4 linked regions of the Saccharomyces cerevisiae S288C genome follow. The protein of the gene in region 4 interacts with the protein of the main gene of each other region in a biochemical or structural test. Each region holds a gene or a part of one and is shown on either strand. Other genes may lie near its edges.

What was found.
Region 1: of the proteins of PKC1 (region 4) and SPO7, one has a biochemical effect on the other in vitro, tested with the Saccharomyces cerevisiae proteins (2 studies listed by BioGRID).
Region 2: of the proteins of PKC1 (region 4) and FAR1, one has a biochemical effect on the other in vitro, tested with the Saccharomyces cerevisiae proteins (one study listed by BioGRID).
Region 3: of the proteins of PKC1 (region 4) and URA7, one has a biochemical effect on the other in vitro, tested with the Saccharomyces cerevisiae proteins (3 studies listed by BioGRID).

The regions. Positions count from the first base shown.
Region 1 is NC_001133.9:134,252-137,195, reverse strand, and holds SPO7 (Nem1-Spo7 phosphatase regulatory subunit SPO7), read right to left. Parts: upstream 1,343-2,944; coding exon 563-1,342; downstream 1-562. Other genes in the region: FUN14 (Fun14p), read right to left, coding at 1-282; MDM10 (Mdm10p), read left to right, coding at 1,531-2,944. UniProt on the Saccharomyces cerevisiae protein: Regulatory component of the NEM1-SPO7 complex which acts as a phosphatase and dephosphorylates the phosphatidic acid phosphohydrolase PAH1. Essential for the formation of a spherical nucleus and meiotic division.
Region 2 is NC_001142.9:123,274-128,111, forward strand, and holds FAR1 (cyclin-dependent protein serine/threonine kinase inhibiting protein FAR1), read right to left. Parts: upstream 3,056-4,838; coding exon 563-3,055; downstream 1-562. Other genes in the region: SSY5 (Ssy5p), read right to left, coding at 3,580-4,838. UniProt on the Saccharomyces cerevisiae protein: Inhibitor of the cyclin-dependent kinase CDC28. Necessary for cell cycle arrest. Involved in pheromone response. Contributes to mating efficiency. Required for oriented polarization of yeast cells in response to mating pheromones.
Region 3 is NC_001134.8:143,431-147,585, forward strand, and holds URA7 (CTP synthase URA7), read right to left. Parts: upstream 2,299-4,155; coding exon 559-2,298; downstream 1-558. Other genes in the region: MIN6 (Min6p), read left to right, coding at 1-142; mitochondrial 54S ribosomal protein uL16m MRPL16, read left to right, coding at 2,757-3,455; APL3 (Apl3p), read left to right, coding at 3,779-4,155. UniProt on the Saccharomyces cerevisiae protein: Catalyzes the ATP-dependent amination of UTP to CTP with either L-glutamine or ammonia as the source of nitrogen.
Region 4 is NC_001134.8:13,679-19,269, forward strand, and holds PKC1 (protein kinase C), read right to left. Parts: upstream 4,019-5,591; coding exon 563-4,018; downstream 1-562. Other genes in the region: putative Rab GTPase-binding protein SRO77, read right to left, coding at 1-201; SEA4 (Sea4p), read right to left, coding at 4,499-5,591. UniProt on the Saccharomyces cerevisiae protein: Required for cell growth and for the G2->M transition of the cell division cycle. Mediates a protein kinase cascade; it activates BCK1 which itself activates MKK1/MKK2.

The sequences.
Region 1 (2,944 bases), on a different chromosome or scaffold from region 4:
CTCGGTAATTGCCGTACTGTTGCCCACAGTTGGTTCCAAGGGACCCTGTTGTTTGACAGCTGCCCCTAAAGAATCATTGAATATCAACTTAGAAGGCTGGCGATTCATCAAGTAAAAGCCACCAGCAACTATGCCAGCACCGCCTAACCCTACAGAGCGAGTTAAGGGCTTTCCTAATTTATTGGCGACATTAAACCTCCATAAGGGGACGTTCTTGAACATGCGCTTCCCAACATTCAAATTACGAAACACCAACCGTTGCATATTAAAAGCCAAAGTCATTTTACACCTATTATTTTAAGTTCTTCCTTCTTGCCCCTCTAGCGTTATGCTGTTGTATGTATAATAAGATGCCTTGTTTAACCAATTTCAACAACCCCTAGGTTTTCTAGCACTTGTTGGAAAACTTAAATATGAAATGACGGATTTGTAAAATTTTCACGACACAACAGCTTCACTTCTAATAATGTATAAAATATAATTTATGTGTGAACATAGATGGTTACAATTTTACATAGGTAAATATGACCTCTTATTCGAAGGAAGAAGCCCTCCAACTCTTTCATTCTGATTTAGGTCGGAGTTCGTGCGCTTGTTTGCGTCTTCTAGCACCTTCCCTGGCCCAAAACTCGTCTCTATAAATCTCCCATCCTTCTCTAATCTCTGCACTAAATGCTCTGGGGTTGAGGACTAATTTCACATCCACAGCTCCGATCCTCGGTTGGGATTGTATCGTGACACTTTTCCAAAATTTCACAATGGCATTATCGTCTTTAAGCCACAGAAATTTTTTCAAACAATAAATATTACAATAAGCAATTGTTCGACTCACAAATCTTACTGAATCTGTGTATTTCTCGTCCCACGTAGACTGTACTTTAACTAGCTTCACATTAAACTGCCTAATCCCTTTATTAGTAGAGGTAAAAAATCTTCTTGGAATGACGATAGTTCTTCTATATTGTCCACTGATATGAAAAAGAACTACAGTAATGGAAATGAAAGAAAGAGTGAATTGCAAAATAACCCTATGGAGGCCCTTGACATAATCTGAAGTGAAATAAAGTTCGTAGAAGGTAAATGCGCCTACACCGGCCATAGACGCTAAGAACAAAGTGAATTGCCACTTCAGTATCTTTTGTTCGTGAGCTTGGCGTCTTAAATCATCCTCCAGTATCAACAAATTCCTGAAAATCATCGATGCTGGAGAGATATTACTGGAGTTCCGTATATTCTTCGCACTGGATGTCTTGCTAGTAGAACGCCTGCGAGGCCCGGACACTATACTGGCACTATCATCCTGGGCATGGTTCCCCACATCGCCTATGCTCTCTGGCTCCATGACCTCCTTTATTTAGCTTTCCACTACCTTTCTTCCTTTGTGTGTATAATCAATAGATTTTCGCTAAATTTCGCATCTTCCCTTTTAAGAATAATTAGTATTTAATTTTACTTTGACTTTATTGTTGAGTGAAGAAACAAAGCAAATATACGTTAGGAAAAAGACACGAACAGAGAAGACCGATCTTGATGCTACCCTATATGGACCAAGTACTAAGGGCATTTTATCAGAGCACCCATTGGAGTACGCAAAATAGCTACGAGGATATAACGGCCACATCGAGAACATTATTAGATTTCCGAATTCCCTCAGCAATACACCTGCAAATTTCCAACAAATCTACTCCCAATACATTCAATTCTTTAGATTTTTCTACGAGGTCCAGGATAAATGGTTCTCTGAGTTATTTATACTCCGATGCACAGCAATTGGAGAAATTCATGCGCAACTCTACTGATATCCCATTACAAGATGCCACCGAAACATACAGACAATTGCAACCAAACCTCAATTTCAGTGTTAGTAGTGCGAATACGTTGAGTAGTGACAACACCACAGTCGACAATGACAAGAAATTACTACATGACTCGAAATTTGTTAAAAAATCCCTTTATTATGGTAGAATGTACTACCCCAGCTCTGATTTAGAAGCAATGATAATAAAACGACTAAGTCCACAAACCCAATTTATGCTTAAGGGTGTCAGTAGTTTCAAAGAAAGCTTAAACGTTTTAACGTGCTATTTTCAAAGAGATTCTCACCGCAATTTACAGGAGTGGATATTTTCCACCAGTGATCTATTATGTGGTTATAGAGTATTACACAATTTCCTTACCACGCCTTCCAAGTTTAACACCTCACTGTACAATAATTCTTCGTTGTCGCTTGGTGCTGAATTTTGGTTAGGGTTAGTAAGTTTAAGCCCCGGTTGTTCGACAACTTTAAGATATTACACACATTCTACAAACACAGGACGACCACTAACTTTGACATTATCTTGGAATCCATTATTCGGCCATATATCCTCCACATATTCGGCCAAGACAGGGACAAATTCTACTTTTTGCGCGAAGTATGATTTTAATCTTTATTCGATTGAATCAAATCTTTCATTTGGGTGCGAATTTTGGCAAAAAAAGCATCATTTGCTTGAAACCAATAAAAACAATAATGATAAATTAGAACCAATCTCCGACGAATTGGTTGATATAAATCCAAACAGCAGAGCGACTAAACTACTGCACGAAAATGTACCGGATCTGAATTCAGCTGTTAACGATATTCCTTCTACACTAGATATACCTGTTCACAAACAAAAGCTATTAAATGATTTAACTTATGCATTCTCGTCGTCATTAAGAAAAATCGATGAAGAAAGATCTACCATCGAAAAATTTGATAACAAAATAAATAGTTCCATTTTTACCAGTGTTTGGAAATTAAGCACGTCATTACGTGACAAGACTTTAAAACTATTATGGGAAGGCAAATGGAGGGGATTTTTAATATCTGCCGGGACAGAGCTGGTATTCACTAGAGGCTTTCAAGAAAGTTTATCCGATGATGAAAAGAATGATAATGCAATATCTATATCAGCAACTG
Region 2 (4,838 bases), on a different chromosome or scaffold from region 4:
GGATCTGGCCCGTGGAAATCGTATGGAATGCATAGGCGGCCCGGCCAGGCACCACGGAAAAAAGCTGATTGTCCTCTTTTACGAGCCGTGGATTTGCAGGAAGAAGCAACGCACGCATGGAAAACACGTGACCTGAAAGTCACCGGAACAAATTAGCCACATCGACGTTTCTTTTACTATACAGCTCGAACAAGCTAACTTGAAATGCTACAACCATGTTGGTATAATTGTGTACAGACACGTGCATTTTTGGTACGAAGAGGGTTACCCGGCTGCGAGTTTTTTTCATTATGAACTAATTCAGGGAAATAATCCCGTTCGGGAAATAGATAAACAACGCCAAACGAAAAAAAATATATAGTGCATATATGACGAGATTTAATTATCGCCAATAGGTTCTTTCTTAGGCAAAATTAAAGTTTACTCAATTTCTATTTATACATTAACTGCTATTTACGACGCATTATATATATTCAGTCATTGCGTAGTATAGACGTGGAGAAACGAAAAAAAAAAAAGGAAAAGCAAAAGCCTCGAAATACGGGCCTCGATTCCCGAACTACTAGAGGTTGGGAACTTCCAGGGTCTGATGAATTCTTTGCTGCTTTACCAGGTCAAAATATTCTATTTCTATCAAACTAGAATGCGGGTGTTCATCCATAATTAGACGCGTTTTTTGTTCACCCGCAGCCATATCCCCCAAATATACTTGCTCGAATGTAGCTTGTGGTAGACGAAGAGTTACATCTAGATAACGCTTAGTGTGCAGCTCCTCTAAAAACTGCTTAATGCTAGCGTTCAATGGAGTCATGCGGCGTTGCGAAATTTCGTATCTCCAATGGTAAGATAACTGGTCAAAGGCCTTTTTTAATTTCTGATCATGCTCAATGTCAACAACGTCACTCCCGTTGAGGACCAAGATTTGCTTGGCGTATCCAGTTGCAATATGGTCATCTGTATCCACGTATGCACTTGTTGACGCTAATCTTTCACAAGTTTGTAATGTTACCTTATACTGTTGCTTTTCATCGCGGAAGACGTTTGGATTAACCACTTCTAAATTATCCAAGAAAGTTGTCCATCCGTCCCAATTTTTATTTATCATTCCGATGAAGGTGCCAAATGGGCCTACTACACCGGATCCATCTCTTCCAACAACAACTATTCCCAGTAAATCGTCTGTGTTTAATCCATCCAATATTTGATGAACACTCTTTAGAACTCTCTTGCGATACAGTTCCCCATCAGCATGCGACAAATTCAAACATACAATAAGTTTTAGCGGCGTATCACTGTGCAATCTTTTCCACGGTAGACGAGAATCATGGGATTGTGCTGATATAACATCAGGCGGCGCTCCTAAAGCGCCTATTATATTCACATGAGAGAGTTCCTTCACTGTAGAAACAATCTCACTTAATGGTAGTGTCTCCAGTGAAGAATTTTCTAGACAATACTTCCATTTGGGAAGCAACCACTTTTCGCAGTTTTCGTTGAACCTCAAGTATATTTCAGGTATATTAGTGCTCTTCAAACTACAAAGTAGTACGTCCTCATTGAACTTGATTACCTGGTAAAACTGGTCTCTAGGAATCTTACCCAGGATCTTCATTTCTTCAAAATCAAACAAAACTAGAAATTTGGAGAATAATATTACAAGGTTATTGTCTACCCATTGTTCGCCATCATCAGAATACATTAGTTTGTCAAACAAGATCAAACTGCCAAATTCGCTATCCTTATCCACATTTGTTTCGATATATTGATCAATTTTCTTTTTCCATTCCTTTTCCCTTTCCTCTAGTTCTTCGTGGTCCACATGATTCACATCTTGCAAGACCCCTAAATCATCACTGGTCCGCATTTCTTGAAACTTCACACTGACCATAACATGTTCACCACCCGTTTTACTAAACCACACTTCAGCAGCACTTTCGTCTATTTCATCATCACAGTCCAGTTTTTCATCATCACTTAAATCAAAAGGGTCTGTAGTTGCCATTTTATTAACGAATGGTGAATTTAAAAATGGGCTATCAAGATAGCTAACGGCCTCAAATTGATTGCTATTCGATAAGCGTGGTGTCCTGAACCCATCACATGAAATATCAGCAGTACGAATGAGCTGCTCCTGTGGTGTAAACTGAGGAAATTCACCTGTGAAGCTTCTCGCCGTTTTCAAATCAATCCATTGCTGTTGCATATTGGATGACGGACCATCATCATGAGCGCCTGCGCCCGTTAGAAGTTTGGATACCATTTCAGGAACAATGTCTTTATCCTTTGGCTTGCTCACTTCGCCACATATCTTACACTCAGGAAACTTGCCTTGGAAATAAAGAGTTTCAAATAGCATCAAATAACAGTTATAGTGGCTAGTGTGTGAACACGTAGACTCCACAACCTTTTCACCGGTAAATGTGGAACTAATACTTTCCTCACAGATTAAACATTTCTCACCTATGTACCTTTTTGGACTGAATTGTGAATTGCATTTTTTTATGTTTCTTTCCAGGCTGATCATGAAAGTTGGTGAATCTTCTTCGTAATATGAATCGCCGTCAATGCGATAATCTTCATCCATAACCGTTAAATTGATGTCTGACAAAGTATCACACATAGTTGTAGAATCAGAAATCGACTCTCGGAGTAAACTAGTAGTTAAATTTGTAGCTTTGATGTTGTATTTGTTGCTACTTGTGATATTTACTGGCGATTGTAAAGCGCTAAGTTGTCCTGTTTTCGAAAAACCAGATGCTACTGATCCCGCTGTTTTCTTCAAACTTGGTGGGGGAGATATAGGCTTGGAAAGATTCAGTGGTTTAGGAATATTGCCTCTTTTGGACATCATTAGGCCAAGATTTGGAGTAAATTGACTCTCTTCAATATACCCAAATGTGGGCATCTGTTGCTTCTTAAATTCTGGTGTCTTTCTAAAAACTTTACCCGATAAACCTCTTAGAAATTTCTTCGGTGGTGATCTTTCAGCGTCACGATCTCCACTTGGTGGAGTGTGTATTTTTTTTTCAAACGAAACTCTTGTTGGTGTCTTCATTAATAGATTGCCTTCTTACGCCCACGAAGCTTTCCAGTGGATCTATAGACTTTGTGTAAAGGATGGTCAAGAAATATAAAAGTAAATAGAAATTTTTTGAATAGATAAGATAATATACACTCTCAAGACAGAGTGAACAAAAAGGATAGTTTTATTTTCTTTTAATAATTTGAATATATTATATACTGTGAACCAAGGTACCTTCGCATTTGAAACCTTTACGATGTCATTTTATTGCCTATTTCCTTTTTAGGTATTTTCGGTGAAATGGCTGCATGTTGAAAATTGCATCGCTGAAAAAAAAAGATATGCAAACAAAAGAAAGTTGCATTCTGAAACGACCGGGTCTCTCTTGCCCGCCTAACAAAACCAAAGAGGTAAATGAAAGTAAACAGATATTTTTCCTTACTTGGAAAAATAAAGCAACAATGAAGGTGAGTTTTATAGTCGCTCCTACAGTGATGCAAGTGCAATGTCTTTTTTTTTTCATCCTGTAATGGGTTAAATAACTTCAAAAAGGCAAATCATCCATCTAGTTGTGGATCAATGTCCCATTGAATTTTAGTTACAGCATGTAGTCTCTCCAGGATATCACCTATAGGTGTGAACAAACCAAACTGCCTCTGTTCACCATCGTATGAATGCAACATACCAACAAGCCCCAAACCTAGACGATCTTCTAACTTGGTCAAGATCCATGCGCCTGAATCCCCCGCACTAGCAAATAAAGGAGTTGGAGATGCAACGACAAACTCGCTACTTTGTAACTTTCCGTCGGCCCAATAAACTAATTTTGTAGAATTTAACTCGCCTGAAGTGTATCCCGTAGAAGCCCCTATTTTAAATACTTTCATCCCAGGCTTCATTTTAAAAATTTTTCGTTTCACATGTAAATTTTGAAATCTTAATGTTGGATCTGGGAATGATTTTAAGCCATTACCTAGGGTATTCTGACATTTGAATGATGAATTAACTTTGATAATAGCAAAATCTGATAATCTGTGATCTACGATTGCTCTCTCGCCCCAAACTACTTGACCAAATTTGTTTGATTTCTGCCAGTTCAAGTTTTGATCTATTCTTTGCACTTCCTCCAAAAATGCTGTTTTCTCCACCGAACCATCAGGATACCTATCTGATTCTTTCGTTAAAACTTTCTTGTAAGAAGTCTGTAAAACATTAGAAGGTACCATGACGTTTGGATAATCTTGCTTCTCAGATAATACAACGTGGGCGCAAGTAATGGCAAATGAGCAGCTTGCAAATTGAGAAAATTTTTTATCACTACCAGTCTGAGGGAATAGATAACCCCCTAAAGTACCTGTAATTTTAGCGCTTGTCTCAGTGGATAAAGACATAGAAATTGGCAATTCAAGTGGATTCTCTGAAACTGCATATGGGGGGGAAAACTGAAATTTAGTTGGGGCTATTGTATCGATAGTTGCTGCGGTATGAGACGGAATACTGCCTACTGCTGATGCAGCTTTTTTAATGTAATCTTTCACACAATACATGTGTACATCTGGGAACAACGAATAAAGAACCTTTATCATTTCATAGTGTTCATGTTGCAAGTTGGGTAAGCCAAACATTATTGTAAGAATTGAACTCTTTGGGGTTATACCTCTAAGTATAGGTGCTATAAAAGCACCTTCCTGGTCAGAGATTATTGAAGAATCCATTTTGGTCAACTCATCTAGAATCATGCCTAATTTATCCATACTTGGTAAGTTGCAATGGCTGCCAATACAAAAGACTGATAAGCATGGTAAAACGCCCGATT
Region 3 (4,155 bases), 130 kb from region 4:
CCACAGAATAACGAGAAAACCCAGTACCATTGCGATGTGGGTGTTTGCTGGTCTGATTTGTTCAAGTACATTTTATTTAATGTTCATGTCATCACCTACAATCGACTTCAACTCGAAGAGTAAGAAAAAAAATGATAAATAATCTCCCTGTTCAGTACTTTGGTAAAAGCACGCCATGGAAAATTATTTAGAACTTCCTTATACAAAACTAAATATTTGAGCATATTCTATATTCATACATAGATACATTCTTTGAATTTCAAGACTCTTATTTCTCATTTTGAAAGCCAAGATTGGAGGAAAAATCGTAAATTTTTATCCAGTCAGTAACAACTGTTGGCCAGTCGAAAACTCTATCGAAACAGCTTCTATATGTCAGATAAGATAGATTTATTAAATTAAATATATTCAGGAGAGGAAAGACAACATGAACGAAAAAAAAAAAACAGTGTAGAGAAGCACTACAAATATTTTCTCTTCCAAAAAATATAATATACATAAAAAAATTAGAAATTTATCTTTGTTAATGCAGTAGACTTTTAATTCTAAAATTTTGATTTAAAAGTTGAATTTGTTTTCGCCGGCCTCAAGATCGTACTTACCTTCAATGACATCTTGAAGGATACCAGCGGAAGCAGCAACTAAACCCAAAAATGGTTTGGATGGATCTAAGACCTTTGATGTGTATTCTGGGTGATATTGAGTAGCAATATAGTATGGGTGATTCTTTAATTCCAAAATCTCACAACGCTTTCCAGTGTCGTCCTTACCTACAAAGATCAACCCGTTGTTTTCCAATTCATCAACCATCTTTGGATTGATTTCGTAACGGTGACGGTGTCTTTCATGGACTTCGGAGACGTCACCGTATAACTTCTTGATTTGACTCCATTCAGTTTCATTTTGGAAAAATGTTGGTCTCAAACCTAATCTCATTGAGCCCCCCATGGTTTCCTTGTCAATTTCAGGCATGAAAACGACAACGTGATTTTTTTCATCAATGTCTGGATAAAATTCTGCCGAATGACTGTCTTTTCTTCCCAACACACTACGTGTAAATTCAATGGTGGCAATTTGTAAACCCAGGCAAACCCCTAAGAATGGAATGTGATTTTCACGAGCCCATCTAGCAGCCAAAACCATACCTTCAGTACCTCTAACACCAAAACCACCGGGGATTAAGATACCGTCTGCGGTACTGACCATGTTCCATGCTTCATGAAATTTAGTTTTGTTGCTTTCTTGTGCTTCAGGTTCCAAATCAGTAGCTTCCACCCATTTAATGTCTAACTTACGACGACACTTCATGGATGAATGTTCCAATGCTTTTATCACTGATAGATAAGAATCTTTCAAGTTGGTGTATTTCCCAACCAAAGCAATCTTCACTGTTTCCATGGATTCATCGAAGTTACCTGTTGTGGCCTTCCATTTAGACAATAATTCCAGGCCTCTTTGTTTTTCTTCTTCTGTAAGTGATATTTCATCTAACTTTAATCTGGCGTGTAAGTAATCAATCATCTTTTGTTCCAGTAGCAACAATGGGACGTGATAAGTAGAATTAACATCGTGAACGTTAACCACCTGTTCAGGCCCCACATGACAAAACATGGCAATCTTATCGATTGTTGGTTTATCCAAAGTTTCACTACATCTACAGGCGATCATATCTGGAACTAAACCAAGAGACCTCAAACCTTTGATGGCAGCTTGAGTTGGCTTAGTTTTTTGTTCACCGTGGATGACAGGAACTAGAGAAACGTGTATCAAGGCAAAATTTTCCTTTCCAACTTTAAATTGGAATTGTCTTAGTGCCTCCACAAAAGGAGCACTTTCAATGTCACCAACTGTCCCACCCAATTCAATGATACAAACATCTGGTTCCATACCGGTGTCATCTACAGGAATTTTGGCCACGCGCTCAATCCAATCTTGGATAGCGTTGGTCAAATGAGGGACAATTTGCACGGTTTTGCCTAAATAGTCACCTTTTCTTTCCTTAGCAATAACGTGCGAGTATATTTTACCAGTAGTAATGTTATGATCTTTAGTCAAAGTAACTCCAAGGTATCTCTCGTAGTTACCCAAGTCCAAATCTGTTTCACCACCGTCGTCAAGCACGAAACATTCACCATGTTCCAAAGGAGACATAGTACCTGCATCAATGTTCATATAAGGGTCAATTTTAATTGACGTAACCTTTAAACCGAGGGTTTTCATTAGCATACCAGTTGAAGATGCAAGAACACCTTTACCGATACCCGAAATGACACCACCTGAAACAACAACGTACTTCATTTTCTGTCTATAAGTTTCTTTTGTTCTATTGACCAATTCACTGAGAAACTGCCTGAAACTTTTTCGACCTTAGAATGGCAGAAAAATGGCAAATACTGTAAAATACTTAACATTTAACTAAATTTTATTCTATGCTTTTCCTCTCGATGAGATGAGCTGTGAAAAATTTTGAAAAAAAAAAAAAAAAAAAAAAAAAAAAAAATTTGTTATCACCAATAACGAGAAACCTAACTCTAAAACTTAGGGTCAAAGAACAGAACCCTAGGCTTTGTATCCAGTTGAATCACTAATTACGAAAGAATGCTGGTGGAAATAATAATATCATATTGGTGCTCAAATAACAAGAAGACTTCTTTGGAAGAAATTATTACCAATTAACAGTCCACTTGTAGAGCGTACATATTGCCGGGAAGTTGATTACCTTTCACCAGAGGTACAGAGGAATAGAATTTTGCAACATGTTCCCCTATTTAACAAGAATGAATTTATCCATAAAGATGGGAGGGCTAACTTTAAAAGAAAGTTCCCCCAATGCTTTTTTAAATAACACCACTATTGCTAGGAGATTCAAGCATGAATATGCCCCACGTTTCAAAATCGTACAGAAAAAGCAAAAAGGTAGAGTGCCAGTTCGTACAGGTGGTTCAATAAAGGGATCCACTTTGCAATTTGGTAAGTACGGATTACGACTGAAAAGCGAAGGTATTAGGATATCCGCGCAACAGCTGAAGGAAGCAGATAACGCAATTATGAGATATGTCAGGCCTTTAAACAATGGTCATTTGTGGAGGCGTTTGTGTACAAACGTTGCTGTATGTATCAAGGGTAACGAAACAAGAATGGGTAAAGGTAAAGGTGGGTTTGACCACTGGATGGTGAGGGTACCCACAGGGAAGATCCTTTTCGAAATAAATGGTGATGATTTGCATGAAAAAGTCGCACGGGAAGCCTTCAGAAAAGCAGGCACCAAGTTACCTGGGGTATATGAATTTGTATCCTTGGATTCTCTGGTTAGAGTTGGATTACATAGTTTCAAAAATCCTAAAGACGACCCAGTGAAGAATTTTTACGATGAAAATGCAAAGAAGCCATCAAAGAAGTATTTGAATATTTTAAAGTCTCAAGAACCACAGTACAAACTCTTCAGAGGACGTTGAACGGATTGAACACACCATGTATACATGTATATAACTATTGAAAAATATCGATATTCACAATCAAGTAATCTAGCCATGGCTATGAGTTTATTAATTCTAGTATGCACTGTATACTCTCTGCGGAAGAATAGGAGTTTTTCCCCGGAGTGAGCGCTGAAGAAACACATGACGACGTGAAAAAACACTTGTTTGATCCAGCTGAGGTATAAACACTGAGAAATATTTGAGGGTCAAAGAAGCACTAGGAACGTTACAGTTGGAATTTGCTAGTCAATCGAGTTTCCAATTTCGCAACCTTTATTATAGTACTAATCTTATAAGCCATGGATCGCAAAAAAACACTTATAAACTCAAGTGTTTCTAATAATAACAGTACCATCAAGGGCCTACAGTTATTCATTGCAGATCTTCGTTCTGCACAACAAGCACAAGAGCAGGAAAAGAGAATACAATCTGAAATTGTCAAAATTAAACAGCATTTCGATGCTGCAAAGAAAAAACAAGGCAATCACGACAGATTAGGTGGCTATCAAAGAAAGAAGTACGTTGCCAAGCTAGCCTATATATATATTACTTCTAATACGACAAAACTAAATGAAATTTTATTCGGGTTGGAGCAAACGGTAGAGCTGTTGAAGTCCAGCATATTTTCTGAAAAATTCATTGGATATATGACCCTTGAGTTGCTTTATGAACGTAG
Region 4 (5,591 bases):
TATCTCCCCAGCAGTAGTTGCAACTGCCAAAAGGCTTTGAGTATAGTCGAATGTGGTAACAGTGATTCGTCCATTTATGCCGTATGTGCATATTTTCTTAGTATCGAAAAATTTGGAGTTAATACCATTTGAGACGTCATGAACTCTCGCGGATTTGATAGCATTTGACACATTCTTCAAATGCCTGCTTTTCTTAAACATTTATAAAATTTTTGTATCTGTTCAATTGACAATTTTGTAACTTTTATAATCTGTCAACTTTAGAAATATGTTAGTAGTAATATAATACTGAGCTGTTTCTTAAATGCTTCCTTAATAATGTAAACAGAATGCGCATTGTTGAACATACGGCTTCGCATCGCATCGCTTAAACGAGGTTTTTCATATGCATGCTCCAAGATAGGTACGAACAAAAAAGAGGCATTGCATCAAAATGGATAGTTTCAGTTTATGTAACAAAATCTCATTAAAAAAACCCTCTCCTCCTATGAAGCGGAACAGTTCAACTTTTCCGCTTAGATGTTTTATATAAAATTAAATAAATCATGGCATGACCTTTTCTTCATAAATCCAAATCATCTGGCATAAAGGAAAATCCTCTAAACTCTTCTTGCTGGCTCGTTGTCAAAACAGAGGGCAGAGGTGTAAGTGTGGGTGGCGCAGAGGTGAATTCTTGCTCGAAATATGATGTATCTTCCGGAGATTTAATTTCTGGGATGTAGGGTGGTTTCACGCGAAGGTTTAAGATATCGTCAAAGTTGATGTTACGGAAGAAAGGTTCTTCCATAACTTCGTCTGCGTCCCTGGGACCAGCACCCAACCTCTTTTCAGGATCTTTTGTTAATAGGCCTTGGAATATTTGTACAATCTCACCTGCCATATCTATTGGGTATAAGGGTTCATCGGTAAGGATAGCGTTAAAAACTTCATCTTCGTCATCTCCTGAGAATGGAGATTGGCACAGTAGCATTTGATATAGCAGCACCCCAAATGCCCACCAATCGACAGCTTTGGTATATTCTTGCTCTTTTAAAATTTCTGGAGCCATAAATTCTGGTGTGCCACAAAATGTAGAAGTTCTATTACCATACCACATTTCATCTTTACACAAACCATAATCGGCAATTTTTATATGACCTTCTGGAGTTAATAGAATGTTTTCCAACTTCAAATCACGGTATATTACACCATTATCATGAAAATATTTCAGAGCCAGTAAGACCTCGGCGGCATAAAATTTGGCCCTTCTTACAGATAGTCTTTGGTTTTGAACATGCCACATTAAGTCACCGCCCCCAATAAACTCCATAGCAAAATATATACGGTTTTCAGTTTGAAAAGAGCAGTATAGATTGGTTAAGAATGGGTGTTTAGTTTTTGTGGCTAACAAAAATACTTTCTTTTCTGCTCTTGCACTCTCGATGTCATGATTTTGAATAATATTATCTTTCTTCAGAACTTTTATGGCACAAAGCCTGTCAGTATTCTTTGATTTAGATAAAATAACTTTACCAAAATTACCTTTACCAAGAACTTTGAGTAATACGAAATTATCTAATGAAACCTTACGACGTTTAGCCGCTCTCTTTTTATGCTTTGCGCTTGTGCTGGTTTGTGATTTCTGCGGAGATTGTTGATCAGTGGTTCTGGAGGCATGAGTACTTGTAGGAGCCAAGGACACTGTTTCTTGTAGTACTTCCTTTGAAGCATGGTCTTGTTCAATTTGAAAGGTTTCACTATTCATATCGCGGAATGGATTTGTGTGTGTGGAATCTATTGTCAAATCAGCTTCACGGAAATCATTTTTGTTCTCCCAGTCTAGTTTCTGTTTGGTCTCTAAATCAATGTGATCAACTTCTAGATCCTCTTGGATTTCCCCACTATCTTGTTTTATTTCAAGTTCCATTTCCTCACGTTGTGCTTTCCACAGTTCAAGTTCATCTCTCATTAAATCATCTTTAGATTCCCAAGTTTGACTATGCTCAATAGATAAATCAGTGAGTCCCAAGGAACGTCTATTCGACGTTGGATCCAGTGTTTTCTCTGGTGATGAAAATTCGGCGGTTTGTTGTGCACCTTCTGTAAAATTTAAATAGGCCTCATTTTCATCGATAAATTTATTTAGTTTCTCACGCCCGTGCGTTTGTAGTGAAATTCTTTTATCAATAATAGGATCATGCTGCTTAGTTGGAGAATCTCTTCCTACCTTCTGAGGCGAAGGAGTTTTATCATGTTTTCTTGGCTGAGGAGGCAAAGGAGCGTTTGCCCTTTCAGCTAATTTGGATGGGGAAAGATCACTACCATTGGCAGTACCAATAGATGACCCCAACTGTGCCGACGGAACTGTCCTCTTCTTTTTCTCTTGATTACGTTTTGTGTCTTGAATCGTTTTCAGAATTTTATTAGCCATTTCCATCGACATGCCACAGAAATCGGGAACCAAATGAGCACATTGAGCATGACACATTATACCACATTCAGAACATTTGCGTACTTTATGTCTACCCCATGGTAAAATATAACCACAGTGACAGCACCATTTAGTACCACGGTTTGAAGTAGGCAGGAATCTATGAGGAATACGGTGGTTCAACTTTGCCTCGTCCGGATCCGTATCAGTAGAAGTTTTAGCAATACACTTAGTAACAACATTGGTGTAACATTTTTTGTGACATAAAAATTTACAATCTTGACATTGGAACCCAGTATACCGAAGGAAATCACCACAATATGCACAGCACATAATGTTGTAAAATGATTTTTGTACAAAGTGGTGGCCATGCTGTTCGAATATCTCTTCTTTCCTATTGATAATAGCACCATGACGATGTAGTCCACCCATCAACTGCTTCCTTTCTATTTGAGAAGACTTGTGGAATCCTAGTGTTAACAAAATCTGCCCGGATGGTTCTAAGACAAACCATGAATTCGTACTGATTTGACTAGTTGATGTATTTTCGCCTTGCACATTCTTTGCTGAAGTAGACTGAATGGCTGAGTTTGAGTATGTAGAAGTCAATGTGCTTCCCTCTTCGCTAGCGAGAGAAGAACCACCATTAATGTTTGAAGCGTTGACCCATCCTTGTTGTTCATTTGTTTGTCCGGCTTTCTTCTTACGAATTTCTTCAGCGATATCGGAAAGCAGTAACCACATTATAGCCACTGGAATGAGCGAGTCGTTCACCTTATCATATACAGTAATCTCGATTTCATTCCCTTTTTCAACTGGAATTTGAAAATCTTCACTCCACCTGTCATTTCTAGAAGGCTTCGTTCTGGCTTTGATCGTATCATCGATTTTTATAGTAACGTAGCTCTCTGGCTTCCTGGCAAACATCGGTGATTGTATATGGTCAACATCTCTAGCAGCAGTTATTCCAATTGTTAGAACGCCAGTCAGTTGTTTTCTTCGGAATTTCGGTTGTTGATTATCCATTATGTCATTGGGTTGGTGTTTAAATTGATCAAAGTCAACGTTAATAGCTTGGTATTTCTTCAAAGCTTTGTTAAGCATTTGAATCCTGTATTTGGATTCCATAGCACCCCCTTCTGCCGCAGAACTACTACGTTGATCACCGTCAATTTGATACAATTTAGTCAATTTAGTATTGGCTTCTTGGTATTGCTTTTCCACCTGTAATTTGAATTCTAATTGTTGCAACATGTATTGGATTCTTTGCGCCAAAGAAGGGCAATCATATTTTACTAAATCCAAACGAGAAAATATGTGTTCATTTGGCGATTTGGTAGAAAGAAACCCGTATTCCTTCGAATTGCATCGCTCATTATCTTCGCTGCCATTTTCACCCTGACTTTGTTGAGCGGTCTTCAACCGTAATTTTTTTAAGCTATCCTCCAAGTACTCAAGATTTTGACGTGCCTCTCTAATATTCGTATTACATTTCTGAATGACCATAACATTGCTAGTCTTTTTCTTGAGGGCAGAAGCTCCCCGAATAATATTTTCTTCGACGGCTATCTTTTTTTTAATGTTCTGCTCCAATTGTGAAAAACTCATGACTGTAAACTGCTCCCTATATGTGTGATACTATACTTACTTTTCCTCGCTAGAGCTTCTCTCCGCAGCTACTGTTCTAGGTTTTATTCCTATTGATTATCTAATATAGTTTTAAAAATCTATACTGAAAGGGGATCGACGCTGAATACCTCTAACGTAAGTGTGGACGAGTGGTGGCAGAGACTTTTACAATGGTTAATAATCAGTCTCTACTCAGCCAAATTGAATAGCAGTGAAATCGTAGCTCTTTTACTGCTCCTGAACCTGTCGTATTACTTTCGATAGAGTAGATCAACTTTATTATCCACGCTTGTTAACTCTTTTCGTCGGTTTTTTTCGCCTTTAAAACTAGGCGGGCTGGGTAATGAAGATAGCAATGCCTCATAAATACAATGTTATACTAATTACGTTTTTTCTTTGGTTATGTATATATATTGTGAGAATAAAGAGAAGTTGCAAGATTTGGTTTATTGTACAATACTACTTATTACACTGGCAGGTGCAACCTGGAGTGGGACAAACATTATGTCTGTCAAACCATTCTTCAGCGTGACCGGCATGCATACCATGGTTGCAACTCAAACAGAAGCTGAACCACTCGTTCAACTTCAGTTTTCTACTTACGAGTTCGCGATTTGCACCATCTTGAGAGTCTTCTGTCTGCATTGGATCGCGTGATTGCGTCCCATTTATTACAAAAGGTAAGTTTGACGTTCCTAGAGGCATGAGACATATGGCACATCTTGGAAATGAAGACCCACAGTGTGGGCAACAATACTTATGTCTTGGCTTTTCATCAGCTGCTTGTGCTTCAGAACTTCCAGTATTAAATTTCTTGTAGTCAGCGTTATTTCTTCTATAGGCTTCACCATTTTTGTAATTTCCAGCACTAGTAGAGACGGCGCTAGAAGGTGAGGATGTGCGCGGAGTGTTGATGTTTTGTTTACAGTTTTGACATTGGATATATATTTGCCGGGGCTTTATGTCTGCAGTTAATACACCAGTTTTAGTTCTCGATAATTTTGATCTTAAAACATCGAACCTGGCTCGCATGGAGAATAATTCCCACGATTTAAGCATATCTCTATAAGTTTGTATCCATTCATCTACTCGTTGGTCGCGGAAATATCTAGGGGAGCCGAAAATTGATATCAGTGCGGCACTCTGAACATCGCTGGTTTTATTAACGTATGATTGCAGTAGATCGATACCATTAGGTGTTATTCCGGTGAGAATTAAACCTTCTAATTCGCCGTTTTCAATAACTGTAGATGAAGTTCTATCTAAGAAAGTGGTTAGGTCTGTATCATTCAAAAACCTTAGAGCTACCCCTAATCGTTCTCTCAAAGATATGGCAGGTTCATAAAGAATATCCCACCAATCATTGTCTGCGATAAAGGCGAAAATAACTCTCAAGTAAGGATCATCTAATTCGGAGGACATTTTTCTGCATTGCTGCCTCCATGCATTGTTACCTGGCAGATCCTTATACGCCAAGTAACCTGCAATAGCGGTGGCAATTAGTCTCAATCTTTCCTTTTTTGCAGATCCCAATATTTCTACAGCCTTTGGG